Linked DNA regions of Alligator mississippiensis. The protein of the gene in region 1 purifies or fractionates together with the protein of each later gene. This does not show direct contact. Links are inferred from orthologs where the notes say so. Each region holds a gene or a part of one and is shown on either strand. Other genes may lie near its edges.

Evidence for each region.
Region 2: the proteins of POLR2D (region 1) and RNGTT purify together in Homo sapiens (affinity purification with mass spectrometry; 3 studies listed by BioGRID and IntAct, with this or other methods). This does not show direct contact. The link is inferred for Alligator mississippiensis from reciprocal best matches to the Homo sapiens genes POLR2D and RNGTT.

What each region holds. Positions count from the first base shown.
Region 1 is NC_081830.1:39,460,688-39,470,788, forward strand, and holds POLR2D (DNA-directed RNA polymerase II subunit RPB4), read right to left. Parts: upstream 5,069-10,101; 5' UTR 5,032-5,068; coding exon 4,959-5,031; intron 4,038-4,958; coding exon 3,857-4,037; intron 3,466-3,856; coding exon 3,370-3,465; intron 2,976-3,369; coding exon 2,897-2,975; 3' UTR 2,382-2,896; downstream 1-2,381. UniProt on the Homo sapiens protein: Core component of RNA polymerase II (Pol II), a DNA-dependent RNA polymerase which synthesizes mRNA precursors and many functional non-coding RNAs using the four ribonucleoside triphosphates as substrates.
Region 2 is NC_081824.1:76,588,251-76,599,025, reverse strand, and holds the start of RNGTT (mRNA-capping enzyme), read left to right. Parts: upstream 1-6,206; 5' UTR 6,207-6,222; coding exon of another isoform or gene 6,223-6,293; coding exon 6,294-6,357; intron 6,358-10,775.

The sequences.
Region 1 (10,101 bases):
GAGGCCTGTGGATGCAAAACTGTTCCCATTCTAGAGTCTCTTTGTTAAAACATCTGTTGTATTTTGTGCCTGAATGAGACGGCAGAGAGGTGCCTGCCCTAGCACCAAAGCTCCTGCCCAGGGAAATAATTGATGCTGGTTTTCCTCTGCCCCCCCCCTTACTTCTGAGTGGGAAATGAATTCACAACAGTTAAACACAGGGAGACTGAGCACAGAATAACCTATCTACAGCAGGTTATGCAAGGCACTTGGGTGGCCTCAGGCCGGACAGGGAGCACAAGTGGTCAATTCTACTATGGGATTTAAACACCAGGCCCTGCTACCCAAGGTGCCCTGGCCCGGGACCAGCTTCAGGGCAAAGTGACCGGAAGGCAGCCCGGGGTAGCCAATGAGCCGCGAAGTGACACTGAGCGGCGCTCGCAACTGCCCGCAGCGCTCCCAGGGGCCGTTGTGCCCCAGCCACATGGCCGCGAGCTCCCGGGCGCGGGAGACCGGGTGCCCAGCGCGGCCCAAAGGAGCCATCACAAGCGAACAGAGCAGAGAGACATATTCGGGGGCCAAGATCCTCAGGCCCGGCCCGGCCGCCGCGCCCTCTTCTCGCTCAGCCCGCGGCTCGGCCCTGCCCCCGCCCGAGCCCGGGACAAGGCCACGGCTTCGCCGACTCTTGGCCGCAGCCTAAAAATGGCGGAGGCGGCCGCGCTGCCCAGGCCCCCGCGGCCGCCCGCACTCACCGTTCAGCCGCCGCGCCCCGGGCCCGCGCCCCGGGCCCCGACGCTCGCCTCGCGCCCCGACCCCGGAAGCCGCTGCCTCACGCGCCTCCGTCGCCGCAGCCAGCCGCCATCTTCCCCACCAGCTACCGGGGTGGCGCACGCGCCCGACGTCAGCGCGTTCGAGGCGCCGGCCCGACCCGGCCCTCCCCTCACAGGGACCCAGCGGAGGGGCTGACACCACAGCGGCTCTGCGCACGCGCAAAGACAACGGCGATGCGGCCGCGCGTGAAACGCGCTGGCGCAGTCAGGAACTGAGGAAGCCTGAACGTGAGGCTCAGCGACGGGGGCGGAGCGCATGCGTAGTCCTATCGCACAGCCCACGGGGGGACGGCAATGAGCGTGCGCAAAAGCCCACTTATTGCCTCCACCAGCCCTCACCGAGGGGCATGCGCGAGGCGGCGCTGAGCTCCCGCCGGCTGCAGTCTGGGGCACCCCCCCGGTGCCACACGGATACCTTGGCTTCCTCTGCTAGTTTCCTACCCGCCCGCCTCACTGCAGCTGTTCGTGGCTCCAGCCTCGACCCCCTTTTGCGAGGGGGGGCAGTCACGGAGCAGCGAGACCCCCCGGCCTGTCACTGCCCCGGCTGCTGAGCAGCGCCCCACCATCTCCCTGCCAGCATCAGCCGCTTTGGTTTTACAACCTCCGGGACCCAAACGGATCTGCTGCGGGGGCTGCTGGTTTGTTTTTTTTAAAAACATGGGCAATCATTCAGTCACTGTTGGGGGGGGCAGCCTCAATTAGTGGAGCATGATGTTGGTCTCCAGGGATCAGTTTCAGGCCCTGAAGCTGTAAGACTTATTCCCTAACCTAAAGTCACCTGGTTTGTTTTTAAATAGCAAGAAATAACAATCTCCCCTAATTATAGACTTTTTTTTTTTTTGTGGGGGTGGAGATTTTGGTAAGTTCATTAATGTTTGCTTCCAAACCACCAACATTAAGATTATAACAAGTAAAGAGGGAAAAGGTCCTGGAGAGAAAGTTCTCATTAAAAGAATGTCAGGATTTTTTAAGGGATATGTTTTAACTGTCTCTGAAGCACTGGGCCTGTGAGGCAAACAACACCTGCCAGTTACAGCTGGGAACCAAACAAAATTGAAAGGAGCTGGGTGTAGCTTATAAGATACTCAGGGCACTAGCTATTTTATTGTTACTTTTCCTGGTATTGTTCTGACCCCTAAGATTATTCTAGCTACAAAAAACAAACCTGTCTGCAATTAAAAAAAAAACAAAAAAAAACAGAAAACATCTTATTGAAAGGGACAAGTAATGTCACCCCAGCTGAGCCAAGAAGTTTCACTGAGGTTTTCACTCTTGTGCCTGATATATTAATAAATTTTTTCCAAACCAAGCTTACAAATTAATAGGAGTAGCACATTTCTCTTCCTCCCCCCCTCCCTCAAATAATGGTGAGCAACTCATATGCTCCTGTACAAAAAAATAAAAAAAGTTCAAAAGAAAAAAAAATCATGCAACATCTCTTCCTCTTTGCTCACAGTTCTCTCTCCCCCGAGATTTTTCTCTCATTCTACATCATTATATTTAAATCAACAGGATTTTCATAAATAAAATTGGACTGAATCAGATACTGTTTACAAACCACAGGATCATACATACAAATAGCGCCTTTTAATTAAAACTAAAAAGCTATACAAAAGTATTCTTAAAGGGGGAAAATCCCACTATCTTGATCAAACATATACATAAAAACCACCACACGAAGTCTCATCAGTCCTGATTCCATGCATCATTATGATTGCCAACAACCAGTAGGAATAATTTCTCCATCTTGGGGAACAGGTGTACACAAGGAAAAAATTGTACAGCTGCACTTATTCTAGAAACCAAAAACACTGTAAAGATTCACAAGTCAGGGACAGGCTGTTAGGAAAAGCAAAGCACTGACACCACTCAGACAAGACTTTCTAGGATCCAATGGCTCTCACCATAAAAGAGTCTCTTTTATGGACTAACTGGCCTCCCATTTGAATGCATCTGTGGTGGACACCAGGCTGGAGTACTCTGCTCCTGGCACTTCCTTAGCTCAGGTCTGGGAGCAGCTGATTTGGTCTGGAGTGCAAAAAGCACTTGAGTTTTTCTCTGTTCATAAGAGGGGCTGGGTGTTAACCCTAATATTGGAAGCTTCGTTTGGTCTGAATATCATCAAGAATCTGCTGTAACTCCTCATCCTCAAACCGGCCCTCTAGGCTGCAAGATAAGAGCAATGACAGTAAATTAATGGCTTTAGACACATTTGTTTTCAAAGACCCAGAATTCCTCTTAACATATTGTTTTGTACCAACTAGCAACTCCTCCAACAGTGTAATGCAGACACTGTTCTGAGCCTCATATTGTGGCTGTCATGCAAACCAGACACCATCCCTCCTTTGACCTCTTTCAAGATAGTAATTTTGTAATGGCCTTCACCCACAAGACATCTGACTGAAGTCCTATATGGACCTGCACTCATAGGCCAGCCTAGTGTGTCTGTGAAGTTTTCAGTGCAAAGGAAAAACCCACAGGTGACCCCAGCTTGTCCTTTCTTCCTGTATCTTAGAGCCCCACAGTTCACACAGCAGCCCTGCTAAATACAAATTCTCACCTGGGAATCAGAGCCTTGGCCTCCTCAGCTGTCTCAGGACAAAGATTAGCTAAGCACGCCAATTCAAATTTATGGAGCTTCTTCTGGAGCAATAAACTGCAGATAGGGAAAATAAGATGGTAAGAATATAGCTACAACAGAATAAAAAAGTACAGGAAAGGAAAATGTACCAGTGGAAGCAGTAAAAAAGGAGGGAAGAAGGAGGGGCAAATTAAAAAAAAAGAGTGCATTTGCATAAGTACAACCCCACTTCAACTACCACTACTACTAATCATCCCAGGCTCCAAAAAGACTGATCTGATGTCACTCATAAATGTTTATTTTGAAGGCATCTATCATAACCCACTCAAGAAAGAACATAGAGCCTGGCTGAGATCTAAGTGCACCCCTCTTCTGGCAACATAGCTAAGGCATTTTAACTGCGCAGTACCAATACCATACATAATAAATTCCCTGACACAAATCTTTCCTGGTCTCTCCTACTCACCTGCGGACACTGGCAATAGTCTCTCGGTTTTTGAAGCGGCTGAAACGAGCCGTGTAGTTCAACGTTTTCATGAAGACTTCTGAGAGCTCCTGCTCATCCTCTGCACTCTCATTCTGCTGCTTGCGATGCTCAAGCAGCATGTGTACTTCTGAATTGAGAAGAGTCTCGGCAGTTTCAAACTCTAGGTGAAAGAGCAAAAAATCTCAGCATGAGAGAGGGATCAGCACTGATAATGAAGCCCATGTCTATATCCTTGCTTTTGTATTTGTGTTGGGGGCCTCCTGGCCCTGCTTCAGCTCCCCCCACCCCACGGGAGCAGATCTAACCCAGTCCCACAGGGGAGGGGGCCCTGCCAGAGGGAAACAAAGCAGGCTGGCCTGGCCCGGCCCAGCCCCATCTGGCTGTGTGCTGGGGAGGAGCATGCAGATATGGCAATGGGCAGGGAGCAGGGAAGGCGGTTTTAATACATTTATATCGGAGGCCAAATTAGCCAAAACTAAATCCCAATCCAAGAGTCCAGAATCATAAGTGGCCCTACTATCGGCAAACATCCTGCACCCTCACCTGGGGCTTCAGATGTTTCCAAAACCTTTGGCAGGCATCCTACTTGCAGGCCCAAGCCTAGAGGTTTGGGGTTCAGATGCCCCTGAGTTTTGCTTGCCCTCAGCCGTCAGGCCCTCGGAGCAAGTGCCGGAGGAGACTCCCATGCCCATAAAGTGGGCTTAAACCCGCTGCACCTTGGCGGGCCCTGAACCACGCCAGAAGAGCAGCTCTCCTGCGCAGCGGGTCAGGACAACTGCCTGCGTTGCCACACATACATGGTATTTCCCCTGCCAGGTTAAGAAGCCCCGACGCTTGTCCTGAGCTGTCAGGGGGAGGGCGGGTGTATGAATGGCCACTGCTCCCCCGCGGCCAGGTGCGGCGAGCCCCGGGGAGCCCGGCGAGGCCACCCTCGCTCACAGCCCGGGCACCTCGGGGGGCCTGTCCGCGGCCCCACGTGCGCGAGGAGGGAGGGGCCAGAGCAGAGCAGGTCGCGGCGGGAAAGAGCCCGCCGTCCCTTCTTGCTCCCGGCTCCTTCCCGCGGGGGGTGGCGGCCGCGCACCTTTGGGGAAGACGAGCTGCGACGCGTCCTCCTCCACGTCGGCCGCCCGCGCGTCGCTGCCTCCGGCCGCCATCGCCCGGCCCGGCCCGGCCCGGCCGCGCAGGCGCCGCGGAAGCGCAGCCCTCCCCGCCCTGTTGGGGCCTCGGCTCCCGCCAGGGGGCGCCGCCGGGCCGCTGGCCGCCCTCGGGGCGTGGCCGCACGGTACGCGTCGCGGGAAAGGCGGCCCAGCGCTCTGGGCCAAGTGCTGGTGGCCGCGTCGAGCCGGCCGTGCAGCTACAGAGAGACAGTCAGTGCTTGAAAATGAGCAACAGCTGCGTGGCCGGTTCCTGTGCAGCTCTCACTGGAGCGCAGAGCAGAGAGCAGGTTGACAGCCCCAGAGGCCGGACAACCAGCGCCTTGCAGGAGGGAGCTGGACGTCCCAGGGCTCGAGAGGGGCCCAGCTGTGCTGTGCCAGGCAGCCGGTGTCTTCCGAGGCTTCCCTGCGAAGATCCGCCTCAAAAAAGGAGTAGCAAATCCTGCAGGTCTTCCCATGGTTCAACGGTTAGCACAGCTTCTGCACTCCTGATGCTTGGCCCTGACAGAGATAAATACATCAGAAAGACAAGTATTTCACAGGCAAGCTACAAACCCAGGTGCCTGGCAGCAGACGACTGTGGAAGAAAGTCAGCAAATCGTTGCATCTTGAAATCAGCTTGACAACCAACATGACTGTGTAGTGACGGGGGCTTATTATTGCCATACTTCTCCCCTCCAAACGCTTGGCAAACAGATTTACACATTGTGCGCATCATAAAGGAATTGAAATTCAGGCACTGCTGCAACTGCAAACAACAGCATGGGGCAGCAAACAAAAGGCTCCTTTATCCCTGCCGTGATGATTTGGGGAATCTTATCTACAGTTTATGAATTTGGATTGATAGTATCAAATTGCTAGTATGACAGTCACTGAATCAGGAAATGTCTTTGTGCAGTCACCTTTCCTAACAAGGCCTCTTGTGTCCCTAGCAGACCAGGGAACTTAATGACAGTATTTTAACTGAACAGTGGGAATGCTAATGAGCTTTGCTGGAACAGGGAGGAGAACCTACATTTTTTACCTGTTTGTAGGAAGAAGATTTGGGAAAGGGAGATTCATCAAATAGGACACAGAGATGAGGGGGGAGGTTAAAAAGGACTTGGAACGAAAGGAAAGCCAGCTACATTGGAAACTTTGAGCAGGAAAGGGAAGTAATGTGTAGGCTTTCATAACAGCAGAGTGGGTTAACTACAAGACCTGCCAAGGTCATCGAAGGCAAGCAGAGCTGCAATACTCTGCAGTCAGAAAATAAGCCAGGAGCTGCAGAACAAAAATCCTGAATAGCTTGATCTCAGACTATGCTCCAGAGTGTGGAAGCAAGTGAGGCAGGAAAATGGCCATATTTTTAGGTGTTTTTGCCTGGATCTGTTTATTTCCCATGCCACAATGTAAAGAGGAAAGATACTTCAGAATCTTGTGCAAGTTTAATTTCTAACCAGTATCACACCCTTGAAGAATTCAGTTTTAGCTATAATGACCTGCAGGTAGGTTCCTGATGGTTGAAACACATATTGTAGTGGGGATGATTTGGGGAGTGACACCAGGAAGCTCCATGTACTTGGAAAATGTCACAGTATCTCTGAGCACACCCAGTAGGGCATGGCTTTTCTAATAAAGACCCATGTTTTTGCAATCCAGATCGACTACCTTGATTATTGGGAGAGGGTGCATTTAAGCTATTGGGTTGTTATGGGGATAAGTGCTGCTCTTAGGTGTTTGAAGTAGATAGACTGAAGGGTTTGAGTTCCAGGAAGGAGGAACAGACAGGGAGACTGTGCCTGGGAGATGTGGTAGGCAGGCCAAGAAACTAAACAATGCTGCAACCTACTGATACCCACAAAAGCATAAACACTGATGGAGTGAATTTGAACCTAATGCAGCAGGCAGGTAAGTGTCCAAAACAGAGAAGCCCAACCACATGGGTGATAAATAGATTGAGAGGTGGAGTTTCCAGAACATAAAATAATTTGCTAAGCTACAGTCTAGCTATTTCACTACAATTACCATCCTTGGTCTTCTGAGAAAAAGTATGTTGGGATTTTAAATTATGGCAGGTGGTCAGGACATCTGTTCTGAACCTCACTTCCAAAAATAGAATCTCTAGGCACAAATAGTCCAGACACCTTGCCACACCCATTCAATGGTGATTCAGGGACAAGTGCTGCCAACAGAATGCTACAATTTCCTGCCATGGTTGTTTTTATATAGGGAGACTGTCCATTTAAGCATCACCCAGGCACATCCTGTTTAGCTTGTGAATCAGGTAAGATCACCATCCAAGCTGGTATGATATCATGCCATGCCACAACCTTGAAGAAGGCACAGAGAGAATGGTTTTTTGGTTGTACAAAGGACTTTATTATTTTTAGCTGTGTCAAGGTGAGCTGCTTTCTACAGGTTTGGTAGAAGCAAAGCTTGAACCTGTTCTGTTGTATTTTTGAGGTTATGCATCAGCTAACCCCATGGTTCTCAACTTTGTTAGGCTCAAGGCACCCCTCAGAAAATGCCAGCTCTTAGTTTTCACTCATTTTTGGACTACAGAAAAATAATAGAGCAATTATTCTATTGCAAAGAACTCAGACCACGAGAGGTCAAAATGGTTTTTTTAACATTTTGGATCCCTACCTGAAATATCTGGGTTTGTACTGTGAATCATGTTTGTACACCTAACAGTGCTAATTATATGGCACCCTTGAAAGAATCTCAAGGCACCCCAGGGTGACACAGCACTGACCCTGATTAAAAATCTCTGGGCTAACCAATCACAGATTGTTACTGTTTGTCTTCTGGATAAATTAATCAAACAGAGAAGCTGATTGAAAACTACTTCAGTTTCCTAAATAGTACAAGGAGAAAGCCATTCAAAAGGATTGGATAAAAACATCTAAAGGAAACATCTGGCAACCTGGACAATCTCCATTAGGTGTACAATAAAACAAGAAAAATCAATGCCGGTTTTATCGGAGAAACTTTCTAAAAGTACTTGGAATCCTGGTGGCTTCTCAAATAACGTATCAGCTGAGCACACTAAGTTTCTTGGAACAGTAGGTAGCTCATATAGTTGCAGTTATTAATTTCACATGGTTCTTTCCTATAGGACCTTTCCACTGAACTATGCAGAGAAAACAATAGAAAGCCACACACTTGCAGGAGTTTATCACTAGAGCTAAAGAGGCTATACTGAAAAGAACATTGTTTCCTTTTAAGAACTCATTTAGAACTAATGCACTTGGTTGAGTTAGGTAGGTGATAAAGATACAGGCGACCCTTGCCATTCGCAGGGGATCTGTTCTGGAGATCCCCGCAAATGGCGAAATCCATGAATATGGCACTGCGTTCATGAATGTCATGAATGGAATGCCCCCAGCAGCTGGGGAGGGGGGCACGGCTGCACTGGCATCGGCGGGAGCCCAGTGGCAGCAGCAACTGCGGAGCTCCTGAGGAGTTCCTGTAAGTGTGTTTAAGATGCAGGTTGGGCATTCGTGAATATTTGAAACCGCGAATGCCAAACCCGCAAATAGCGAGGGTTTCCTGTATTCTCAAATAGAGCCTGCCTCTTCTCTTGTATTGTTGTAACCTCCCATAAATGTCTTTCAGAATCACATCAGTAAGCAGTGTTCATTCTTTGCAGCATTCAAAATTAATGCAAGAGGAAGCAGATGCTTTATCTTTAATGTGTGCCTGTACTTTTCCTTCTCTAAAAAAATCTATTTCAGTGGTGCTTAGGAATTAGATTTACAGAAAAAGGAAAGATGATGAGGGAAAACAAACAACACAGGAGATTTGATACATGTTGTCTGTTTATGTCCTAAAATGGAACCATATAGGCAAGAAACTTAGAGACTGTCAAATGTGAGATGTCAGTGGAGCCACAAATCCTATTCCTTGTTCTAGCTAAGAAAAACAAACAAACCAGTACTGATCACACTGCTAAAGACAAGACACTGTACTTAATGGATGATTGGTCTGATCCATAATGGAGATTCCAACATTCCTTTTATTTAAAACCTATGTGGTAGCAATTACCTATGCTGATGTAGATCGTTGAAAGAAACAATGCACCAGTAACAGTTTAATAAATGCTAGGAAACTCCCTTATCAAAACAAAACTGTGCGTGAGAGTGAGACAGACAGATATTTTTGAAATAATAGAGTCCTTTTGTTGACCTTTGTAGCAGACAGCCTCACATTCACTTTTTTTTGTTTGAAAACCAGAACTCTGACAGAAGGAAAAGAGAATTACTACTTGTATATTTAAATCTCTTTTAATCAGGTCATTAGCACTTCTAGCATACCTGTTATGAATAACCCAGAACCTAGCAATATTAATTTCATCCTCTTTTATATTCCACTGCAGATGTTTGCTTTAATGACACATTTACAAAGTACATGTCATCTTCTATCTTCCTCTGTTTGGAATTCACAGGACAAACATTCATGTTTCAGTCTCTCCATGTTTAACAACAGAAAACAGATTTGATGCTTAAGAATGGCTCATAAAAGTGTGCCCTGTGGTATCCTACTGTTCCTTCTCCTAAATACTACTTTTATAATAGTTTTTACAATAAGCAATATTCTGTGTCAGTATAGATATGACTGTATGAAATCACAAGTGAAGAATGTTTGCCTTTTCCCCCCTTACCTGTGAAAATGGCATTTTTTAATTATGGATTGACTTTTAATATAATCCACACAGAAAATAAAGCTCTAATTTACATGAGTCCTAAAACATTTAGGTTTGTGATAAATTTAAAATAATCTTAATTTTAAAATACTTGAAGTGGTTTTGATTTTTGTTAAGTTATCCTGTTAAATCTAATACACCAGATTAATTCTGGATGGGAGCAATCACCTTTGTTTCTAATAAGGAACTAGATTAAAGGTACAGGATAAAGCTTTTTTTAAGGGACTAGATCCTATGTTGTTCTTTTTCTGGTACAGTCATACATTTATTGCAGTGTACAATCTTGTTATGCACTTATTTCCAATTGAACTAGTTTTAGAAGTGTTCATTGGATACTGAGGTCAACCCCATTCTCGTTTACAGATCTCAGAACAACTTACAAG
Region 2 (10,775 bases), on another chromosome or scaffold:
AAATATTACCTCCTTCGATCTATTTGTCATGCATCTGCTGACGCATGATAAAGTGTGGTTAGCTTTGCTGATGATTTCATCACACTGATGACTCATATTCATCTTGGAGTCCACTATGACTCTGAGATCCCTTTCCGCTTCTGTGTGGCTGAGAGGGTCACTTCCCAGCCAGTAGGTGTGCTGGATATTTTTGCACCCTAGGTGCAGCACTCTGCACTTGTCCTTGTACTGCATCCTGTTGTGTACTGCCTAATTTTCTAACTTGTACAGGTCTGCCTGCAATCGTTCCCTATGCCCCAGAGTGTGTACTTCACCCCACAATTTAGTATTGGCCGCAAACTTGGACAGAGTACACTTTTACACCCACATCCAATTCACTGATGAAGATATTGAAGAGCACAGGTCCAAGGATTGAACCCTGCGGGACCCCACTACCCGCATCCTTCCAGGTTGATACCGACCCATCTACTACTACTCTCTGGGTGTGACCGCTAAGCCAATTTGCCACCCACCGGACCGTGTAAACATCTATGTCACAGACTCTTAATTTATTTATGAGAATGGGATAAGATACCAAGACAATAATTTTCTCTTTCAACACCATCATGATGCAAATATTACTGGGATACAAAATGACTAGTTATTTAGGTTTAAATAAGAGTAAAGGTTTATTGACAATCAACTAATTTTACTACAATTTAGTAGTAAACACCCAAAAGCATTTATAGTATATATAAATAGTGCATACAGTCCAGCACAGGCATTAAACAATCACATGGCAAATTAATTCAGTTGGTCATTAAATTAAAGGAAAGTCTTTAAAAAATCTATTTAATCTTTTATGCCAGGGGTTAGCAACCTTTTAGGTACAGCAGGCCAAATTAGCTCAGCTAACTCTGGAGGTGAACTGCCCCTCCCCTGCCCAGCACCCCTCTTCCAATCCAGTCACTGTGTGACCCATTGCTGTGCTCCCTGCCCAGGAACAATGGTCCCTTCTTCAGAATTGGTGTTGAGGTCCTGGTTAACTACATAACAACAATTCTGTATTTTCCCCAGACAAGTGCTATATTTTTAACATGAGAGAACATAAAAATACCATACTGGTTTTGACCACAGGTCCATCTAGCCCAGAATCCTACATCTCACCAAGGTCCAGTACAAGGGCAGTCCCTGCCTGCCCACTAGGGCTGTGCAAAATTTTGCCACCAGTTTTGTTTCAACGCTGTTTCAACTCATTTCAAGGTCAAAACAGCAAAATCGAAATGGAACAGATATGGTCGAAACAGCCTCGAAACAAAATGAGGCAAGTCGAAACGTTTCGCCCATACGCCATAATGGGGAAGGTTGAAACAGCTTATAACTTTGTCATTTCTGGCCTGATTTGGATGAAACTTGCAGGAATGGTAGCCCCTGCTGAGGCCACAAAGCCTGCTAAATTTTAAGGAGATAGATGCAGGGGCTTTGGGGAAACTGCCCCCCAAAATCTTGAAAGCAAAACTCATGTCATGTGTATGTGTTAAACCACAACTGTTCACCAGGGCACCATTGGGTAAAACTAGGAGTAATGATCACAAACTCCTGGAAGATCATTTCAGGCTCAACCTTAGGAAAAACTACTTCACAACTAGGCTGTCCAGACTGTGACCATTATTCCTAGTTTTCCCCAAGGGAGCCCTAGATGTACGCTTCTGATGTAGTGGTAAGCTGCTACCAAGTCCCCTTTCAGCCTTCTCTTTTTCAGACTGAAGAGTCCCAGATCCCTCAGCCTTTCCTCATACGGGTTGCTGTGCAAGTCTCTGATCATATGGGTAGCCCTTCTCTGGACTCTCTCAAGTTTTACCACGTCCTTGTTAAAAGTGCGGAGCCCAGAACTGGATGCAGTGCTCCAGCTGCGGGCTCACCAATACCGAGTAGAGCCGAGTAGAGCAGGAGAATCATTTCTTTGCAATGATTTTGCTGGTTTTGCTGGAGATGCATCAATTGATGCATGCTAGAGTATTGTTGGCCCTGCTGGCTACAGCATCGCACCGCCGGCTTATGTTCATACTATGGTCAATTATTACCCCCAGGTGTGTGGCGGCAAGTGATCGGGGATCTTCAGTCCTGCTGGTTGATGAGAGGCAGCAGTTGCACAAGCACCCATGTCACGAGATTTGCCTGTCAGCAGCTAGGGGTGCAGGGCCCCAGAACCCCCCTGCACCGATCTCCTTGACAGCTGGCAGGCTTTGTGGCCACAGCAGGGCCTGGCAGCCCAGCCTGCAGTAGTTTCTCCCCTCCCTGTGCCCCAGGACGGACAGAGTTGCACAGGCACCCATGACATGAGTTTTGCCAGTCAGCAGCTAGAGGTGCAGGGCCCCAGAACCCCTGCACCTATCTCCTTGAAAGCTGGCAGGCTTTGTGGCCTCAGCAGGGGCTATCAGCCTGCAGCTTTCACCCTGCTGCGCCTTAACACACACAGTGTCACCCATGTCACGAGTTTTGCTTGTCTGCAGCTTGTAGTACAGTTTCCCCCAAACCCCTGCACCTATCTCCTTGAAACTTGACAGGCTTTGTGGTCTCAGCAGGGGCTAGCATGCCTGCAGTTTTGACCCCACTGTGGCTTAACACATACACATGACTTGAGTTTTGCTTTCAAGATTTTGGGGTGCAGTTTCCCCAAACACCCTGCATCTATCTCCTTGAAGCTTAGTAGGCTTTGTGGCCTCAACAGAGGCTACTATTCCTGCATGTTTTATCCAAATCAGGCCAGAAATGACAAAGTTATAGGCTGTTTTGACCTTCCTCATTATATTCTATGGGCTAAACGTCAAAACAGTTTTGCCTTTTCAACCCTGTTTTGACAGAATGGAACGGAATGGAACAGCTGTTTCAAATCGAAACAAAATTTGAAACGGAACGCTGTTCTTTCGAAACATTGAAATGCTGGTCAAAACGGAACGTCGCTGTTTTGCACAGCCCTACTGCCCATTCCCCAAACCCTCTGGAGCTTGTCTTGGGGCTCCTGCCTTGACAGGTCCCACGACATTCCCTAGCACACCATCCTAGCAGGCTGGGGAATACAAAACTAGTCTACTTCTGAACAGCCCACTGCTGCCAGCTCTAGATTCTTGTGCTTCACATTACACACTCACTCTGATGCCCTCAAAGCCTGCCTAGACACCAATGGGCAGGGCACCTTCAGGAAGGGTGAGAGTCCCCAGTGGAACAACCCATATTCTACCCATATTCCCACAAGTCATTGGGGACATTGGTTGACAGGTCCTGCATGGAACTGTCTCCATGGGCAGGTATCTGACTTGCTTCACTGATTCCCCTGACACCTGCCCTTCATGTCAACAGAGAGAGATCTTGGTGCCAGGGCTAGATTAACACATAGGCAAACTAGGTACATGCCTACGGCCCTAAGTTGCAAGGAAGGCCCTGGTGTTTCCCTCTATGGCGGTGGTGCGAATGGCCCCGTCTGCCTCCCTTCCCTTCCCCTCCCTTCTGCTGGCCTTGCCTCGGTGGTGGCTGCTTCCCAGTGGCGGCTCTGACTCGGTGCTTGGCAGCACCGAGTTGGGGACGGGGGTCTCAACTCGCCTGGGGCCCAGAAGTTTGTTTGTCTATGGCCCACTAAAGGGCTAATCCAGCCCTGCTTGATGCATGCCTTCTTTGTGTGTGCCAAACTGCAGCCTCTCCACCACCTCCTCAGGAACCTCCTTCTAAGGTTCTGGCTGCACTTCTCCCTACACCTTTTATTTTATGTACTCCCTAACCATGGCCCTGCCAAGTCCTGGGATCTCTTAGTCAGCCTCCTCCTGGCTCTGGCCAAACTTGCCATGTACCAGAACAGAAATGAGGCCCTTGCTTGGGGGAATCCTGAGTGATTCCAGAGCGCCCCAAGGGATGACAAGATCAAATGGTCACAAACTCCTCTGTGACCGTTTCAGGCTAGACATAAGGAAGAACTTCTTTACTGTCCAAGCCCCCAAGGTTTGGAATAGACTGCCACCAGAGGTGGTTCAAGCACCTACTTTGAATGTCTTCAAGACACTTTTGGATGTTTATCTTGCTGGGATCCTATGATCCCTGCTGACTTCCTGCCCCGGGGCAGGGGGCTGGATTAGATGATCCTCCAGGGTCCCTTCCAGCCCGAACATCTATGAAATCTATGAAATCTATGATTGTGGGACTGTTTTTCTGTTACTCCTTTGTGCATGTCTCTGGGCAGTTTCACTGGGGGGTGTCCACAGACTCCATGAACACAGATGAGGGGCAGTGGGTGCTGTCTGGTGTTTTCTGCTTGGAGTTTTCCCTTGAAACTCTTATTATAAGAGTCCTGTCTGTTGGTTTTTTCATTTATTGTTCCCTGAAAACAGCTGTTACGCTCTTAGCGGCCTCCCTAACTGAAGGAGACTTACAATTTTCTTGTTGGGCCTAGGACCACTGCCCTTTGTGTAAGAAAAAAGCCTGCATCTCATAGTAATGGACAGCAGATGATAAGGGGAAGTTTATGTTAAAAGTATGTAAGGTCATATAGAGCTATGAAAGTGCTGTCAGCTCTAGATACAAAAAAATCTATAATCTGACTGTGTTCCTGCATGACTCTGTCATTGGACAAATAATTTCTTCACAGGAAAAAAGAAATTGCTCATCGAACTGCAACTAGTCAGTGTACCGACATCAGAACTGACCCTTCGCACTTGTTTGTTGCCTCTTATACACTTTCTAAATATGCTTGTGAGTGACTCCCTGTACTCGGAGCGTGTCTACAATCAGGCTTCTGACTACAGAGTAGTGTGGACTTGTCCTAGCTAGTTAGGTTGGGTACCGGTGAGTCTAAGGGTATGTTTACACTGCAGCAATTTGTTTTGGCCAGGACACCTCCATGCACACATTTCCCACCTACTCCCACTGACATGCTCCAAATTCAGAAATGCTTTGGCGAGGCTGCCCCTCTGTGGCTGTTTTTAAGAGCTTGGTCTTTGGTGTACTGGGAACAACTTCACCCTCCTATCCTGGATTTGGAGCAGGATTGAATATAGGCAGGTCACACTCTGGGGGCCATGCTGGAAGTAAGCTCTCGGCATGGCAGCACGATGCTTTGTGTGGGTTAGTTCCCACCGTCTTTACTCAGTGTCTCTGGCAGGATTTGGAGCACAGGCTGAGTTCTGCGCAGCCTCTGCCTGATCACTACCAGCCCCTGAGAACTACATCTGTGGTACTACTTGAGGCCACTAGCGTCTTGCTTCAGCTTTGGTTTTTGTCTGTGGAAAAATAACAGAGCTCTTCTTCTGTGCCAAAGAAAAAAGCACTGCAGGCTGGCATGATTCAGACACTACAGGCTTCTATCTGAAATCTCTGGGCTAATCACATGTAGGTGTTTGCACATCTAACCAGGCTGATACTGGGGCACCTTGGATGAGCATCATAGGGCCCCCATGTTCTGCCTCCACAGCTGCAACTGGAGCGTGTAGGAATCTCCTCAGAAAGGGGTGGATCCTGGGGGAGTACTGGCATACTTGCACCCTCCTTGGAGTCCTGTCCATCTAATGTTTAAAACCAACTGCCCGGCAGTGGCAGCAGCATTTCTAGTCAGGCAGTGCTGAGGCAGTCAACTGACTTCACAGCTCTTTATAATCGACCCCACCCCTTCTAAACTCTTCATTCCCACAGCACTAAGGACCCGCTCTTCTTTTTTAATGGTCTTGCTGTTCCACCAGGTGAGCCAGCCTCTGTTTGGCCAGCCCTCGGCTGCTCCTGGTAACTCGTTTCACAGCCCTGCAGCTGTTTTTAACTCATTTCAATGAAGCTGCCAGGTTAACCCTTTGGTGGGCCCTAGGCAAACTCCTGAGCTGAAGATGAGATGTTTATATTACTTTTTTCACTCAATAATTATATTGTGTAACATAAGCACAGCTGGACCCCTTCTTCACCCAGGAACCTAGGCACGCGCCTAGTTTGCTTCTGCGTTAATCTCTGGACGCTGCCTTAGGTTTTGCTCGCACCTCAAGGCGCACAAGCCCCGCCCCCGGGTCTCCCCGGGACCCCAGTGACGTGACGGCACTGAAGGGCGGGGCCAGGCGGGGTCTCCCACACCCGCCCCAGGGGCCGCACGGCGGGGATGCTGAGGCCCCACCCCCCGGCGTGCAGAGCAGTGCCGGAAGCGGAAGGTGCCGGGGCGGAAGTGGCTGTGCGCGGTGCATGGCGGGCCGGCGGCGGGCGTTGCGGAGTCGGGGCTGAATGAAACGGCGGCGGGCGCGGGCCGCGGAGCGCTGGGAGCCGCCGGGGCAGGGGCAGGGGGCGGCGCCGCCATGGCCTTCTGCAAGATCCCGCCGCGCTGGCTGCGCTGCCCCCGGCGGGGGCAGCCGGTGGCAGGTGAGCGGGGCGTGCCGGCCCGGCCCGGCCCGGCCCGGCCCGGGGGCTGCGGGGTCCGGTGGCGTGTCCCGCCTCTGCCGCGGGGGCGAAGGGAGACGAGCTGCCCAGTGTGGGGCACTCCGCCCTGCCGGGTGCCCCCGGCCGCAGGCCCTCGGGCTTGGCAGTCGGGTACCTCTGGGGTCAGCACCACCTCCTTCCCCGCTCTGCCCTAGGCACGTGCCCCTTGGCCTCCCCTCCCTTCCCTTCCTTGGGCCTCCTGGGGCCTCTTTCTCAACCCCCTGCTTCTCAGCATCCCTCACACTTGTGCATACGGCTCGGCACCTGGTCTCCACAGGCCAGGTGGACCTGGTGGCTAGGTGCTGTCCCTGTGTCTCTATGATCACTGGCTGTTTCTGGCGTGAGGGCAGAAATCCTCCCCCCTGGTTTTCAGTCTCCAGCAGTGACCTGGGTCATGTGTGACAAGTTCACATTCTGCACCGGGAGCAAATGTGTGTCAGGCCAGGCAGAGCTGGGAAGCATCCCTGCCAGCAGCCTGAAGGAGTGGATTTGGTACTCCGGGTACATCTTGTGTTACATTATGATACAGTGATATAATTAAGCATGCATTAAATAACAATGCTATCATCTAGTATATCTATTTTTGTTTTTGAAGTGAGGTGCTGTTAAATTCTGACAAGTTACATAGGGGCCCCATGAGTTTATAAAGGTTGAGAACTGCTGCTTTAGAGTGAACACCAGCGCAAATATAGGCATGTCGCATCTTACACGGGGGGTTACATTCTGAAGGCAGCATGTAAAGCGAAAATCGTGTATAGTGAAATCACATATTACCATGCCAGTGGTGACTGCCTCTGCTTCCAAAACCTCCCGCCGTCACGGAGCTGTGCTTAGAGCTGTGCGGCCGGCGGCAGCGGTGCAGCGCGGGGTGGTGGTGGGGATGGCTGTGCGCTGCCCGGCCACCGCCACGCCCGGCAGCTGGCCACACAGCTCTGGGTGCGGCTCCATGGTGGCGGTGGGAGGTTTCGGAGGCAGAGGCAGTCACCGCTGGCAGCGTGGTAGTGGCCAGGCCTCCAGGTAAGCGGCAATGCCGTGTGCAGACTCAAGCCCTGCCCCACCTCCCCACCTGCATATAGTTGAATTCACGCAAGTTAAATGCGCGTATGATGCAACATGCCTGTATATTTGTTTAGTTTTTCCACACTGTACTCTGACTGCTTTCTTTAGATCCTTGTGGCTCAAGAGACCTACCAATCTCTTCTGCCAGATTTCTTTTTGGCATCAGAAACCTCTCAAAATTTGTCACTTAGTTTTGTTGGTTTACTTACCCTCTGATTCTTCGTTTGTACAAAATGTGTGTGCCTCATAGATGCTTTTATTTTGAGGTACCCAGGCCACTTCTAAGGATGTTAGAAGTACACCGATACATTGGTCTGATGTGGGATCAGCACTGACGTAAAGAAAATTTTCTGTATCGGAAATCGGCCCAATGTGGCTGATAACTTGTCCAGTAAATGCCTGTGCATGCACACAGCTACAGCTCAGCACGTAGGCAGTGAGCAGCAGAGCCACCAGCATGAAGAGCTGCATGCAGCTGGTAAGTCTGGTGTGGTGGAAAGGGAAGGAACATGGAGGCGCAGATCAAGGCCCCCATGGTGAGGGAGTCCCTTGCATTGGCCCCCGTGGGGTCGGGGCAGGGGCTGCCTGGCTGGGGTGGGTATGGGGCGCAGGAAGGAGAGTGAAGTGTGCAGCTCACGTTGCTGTTTGTGGCTTGTCCAGTGCTCGTCTGGTAGCTCCCACCTCTGCTGCCGCTCGTTCGGGAGGGCACAGGGAGGCAGGACGTGTGCCCCTGATCTGCATGGGGCAGGGCGGGCTGGGGCCAGGCTTTTCCCAGCTGGGCAGATCCGAGGGCACATCCCCCCCCAATGCCCTCCCGGATGAGTAGTGGGAACAGTGGCCGGAGCTGCCAGATGAGCCGTGCGCAGTGGCAGGAGCCGCCCCCCCCAACGAGCTGTGCCTCCATCCTATGCCGACCCCAGCCCACAGCTAGAGCCTTCCCTGTGCCGTGCAGATCTGGGTGGCACACACCCCACCCCTGCGGATGAGCCACTTGTGGCTCTCTCTCATGCCTGTCCCTGCCCCGGCTGGTCAGCATGTGCACCAGCTCCATTCCCTCCCTCACCACAGGGGCCTTGATATGCCATCCCCCCACTCCCCACACACACACCCCTTCCACCACACCAGACTTATCAGCTTCAAGCTGAAGAGCTGTGTATCGAAAATTGGATTGGTATCATAGGATTCGTAGATGTTGGGGTCGGAAGGAACCTCAGTAGGTCATCGAGTCTGACCCCCTGCCCTGGGCAGGAAAGAACTTTGGGGTCTGCTAGGAGCTTGTCCAGCCTCCTCTTGAAGACCCCCAAGGTAGGGGACAGTATCACCTCCCTTGGAAACCCATTCCAGATTCTGGCAACCCTTACTGTGAAGAATTTCTTTCTAATGTCCAACCTAAATCTGCTGTCTGTCAATTTTGGCCATTGTTCCTAGTTACTCTAGAGGGTGCCCTAGTAAATAGAGCATCTCCTATTCCGTGCTGCCCTCCCCTGATGAATTTATAGGCAGCCACAAGATCACCTCTCAGCCTTCTCTTGCAAAGGCTGAAGAGATCTAGGTCCCTCAGTCTCTCGTTGTAGGTCCTTGCCTGCAGGCCTCTGACCATATGAGTGGCCCTCCTCTAAGCCCTCTCAAGGTTCTCCACATCCCTCTTGAAGTGCATCTGCTAATGCATGAGAAAGTGTGGTTAGCCTTGTTGATCACTTTGTCACATTGATGACTTAGGTTCATCTTGGAGTCAACCATGACGCCAAGATCCCTTTCTGCTGCTGTGCTGCTGGGAAGGTCATCCCTCAGCCTGTAAGTGTGTTGGTAGTTCTTTTTGCCCAGGTGCAGCACTTTGCGCTTGTCTTTGTTGAACTGCATCCTATTTTGTTCTGCTCTTTTTTCCAGCCTGTCCAGATCCGCCTCGATCTGTTTCCTACCCTCTGGTGTGTTAACTTTGCCCCATAATTTGATATCATCTGCAGACTCGGACAGGGTGCTCTCCATGCCCTCATCCAAGTCACTGATGAAGACATTGAATAGCACCAGTCCGAGGACCAAGCCTTGCGGGACTCCACGGCCCACATCTTTCCAGGTCGATATCGACCCGTCCACCACCACTCTCTGCATGCAACCCCTAAGCCAATTTGCCACCCTCCTGGTCGTGTAATCATCTACTTCACAGCCTGTCAGTTTGTTTATGAGAACAGAATGAGATACCATATCAAAGGCCTTCTTAAAGTCTAGTTAAATGACATCTACCTCAGCATCTGCATCTAAGCATTTTGTGACCTGGTCATAAAAAGAAACAAGATTAGTCAGGCAGAATGAACTCATACTGATTTCCTTTCAGCATTATTTCCTCTGCTGGGCTTCCACAAATGTGATCCTTAATGATTTTTTCCAGAGTTTTCCCAAGGATTTAGATGAGACTAATTGGCCTATAGTTTCCTGGTCCCTTCCTCCTCCCCTTCTTGAAAATAGGGACCACATAGGCTCTTTTCCAGTCCTCTGGGACCTGACCAGAGCACCATGAATGCTTGAACAGACGTGCCAGCGGCTCTGCCATGACATTGGCCAATTTCTTCAGCACCCTTGGATGAAGTTCATCCAGACCTGCTGATTTGAACACATCCAGCCCCTCCAAGTGCCCTTTCACTAAGTCTGCGCTAACAGTTGGTGGGCTGTTGTCCCTCCTGTGTCTGTCTGATCCAAATGTGAGATGAGATGTGTTTTTGTCCGTGTCTAGGAATACAGATGCAAAGAACTCATTGAAGAGCTTAGCTTTGTCCCCCCTCTCTGTCACCAGTTGCCCTAGTTTGTCCTGTAGGGGTCTTATGCTACCCTATGCTTTTCCTTTACTCCCTGTATACCTGAAGAAGGACTTTTTTGTTGTTCTTAATTTTTGTCGCCAGCCTAAGTTCTAATCCTGCTTTGGCCTTCCTAACTGATTTCCCTGCAAGTGCGAGCCAGGGAGGTATCCTCCTTCTTGGTAGCTACCCCTTGTTTCCACAGTCTGTATACCTCTTTCTTTGCCTTTTGAGCTTTCCTGGACTTCCCTGTTCAGCCAAGAGGGCTTCTTGGCTTCTTTGCCTCCTTTTATGCGCAATGGGATTGTCTCCTCCTACGCCTGTAGGATTGCTCCCTTAAGGAATGACCACCCTTCCTGGACCCCCATTTCGCCAATGTTCTTGAGCTTTAATGCCTCACTAATTAATCTCCTGAGCACACTGAAGTTAGCTTTTCTGAAGTCTAGCACTTCAGCCCTGCTGGTTAGTTTACCCACCCTTTGCTAGATAGTGAATTCAGTCAATCAATGGCCA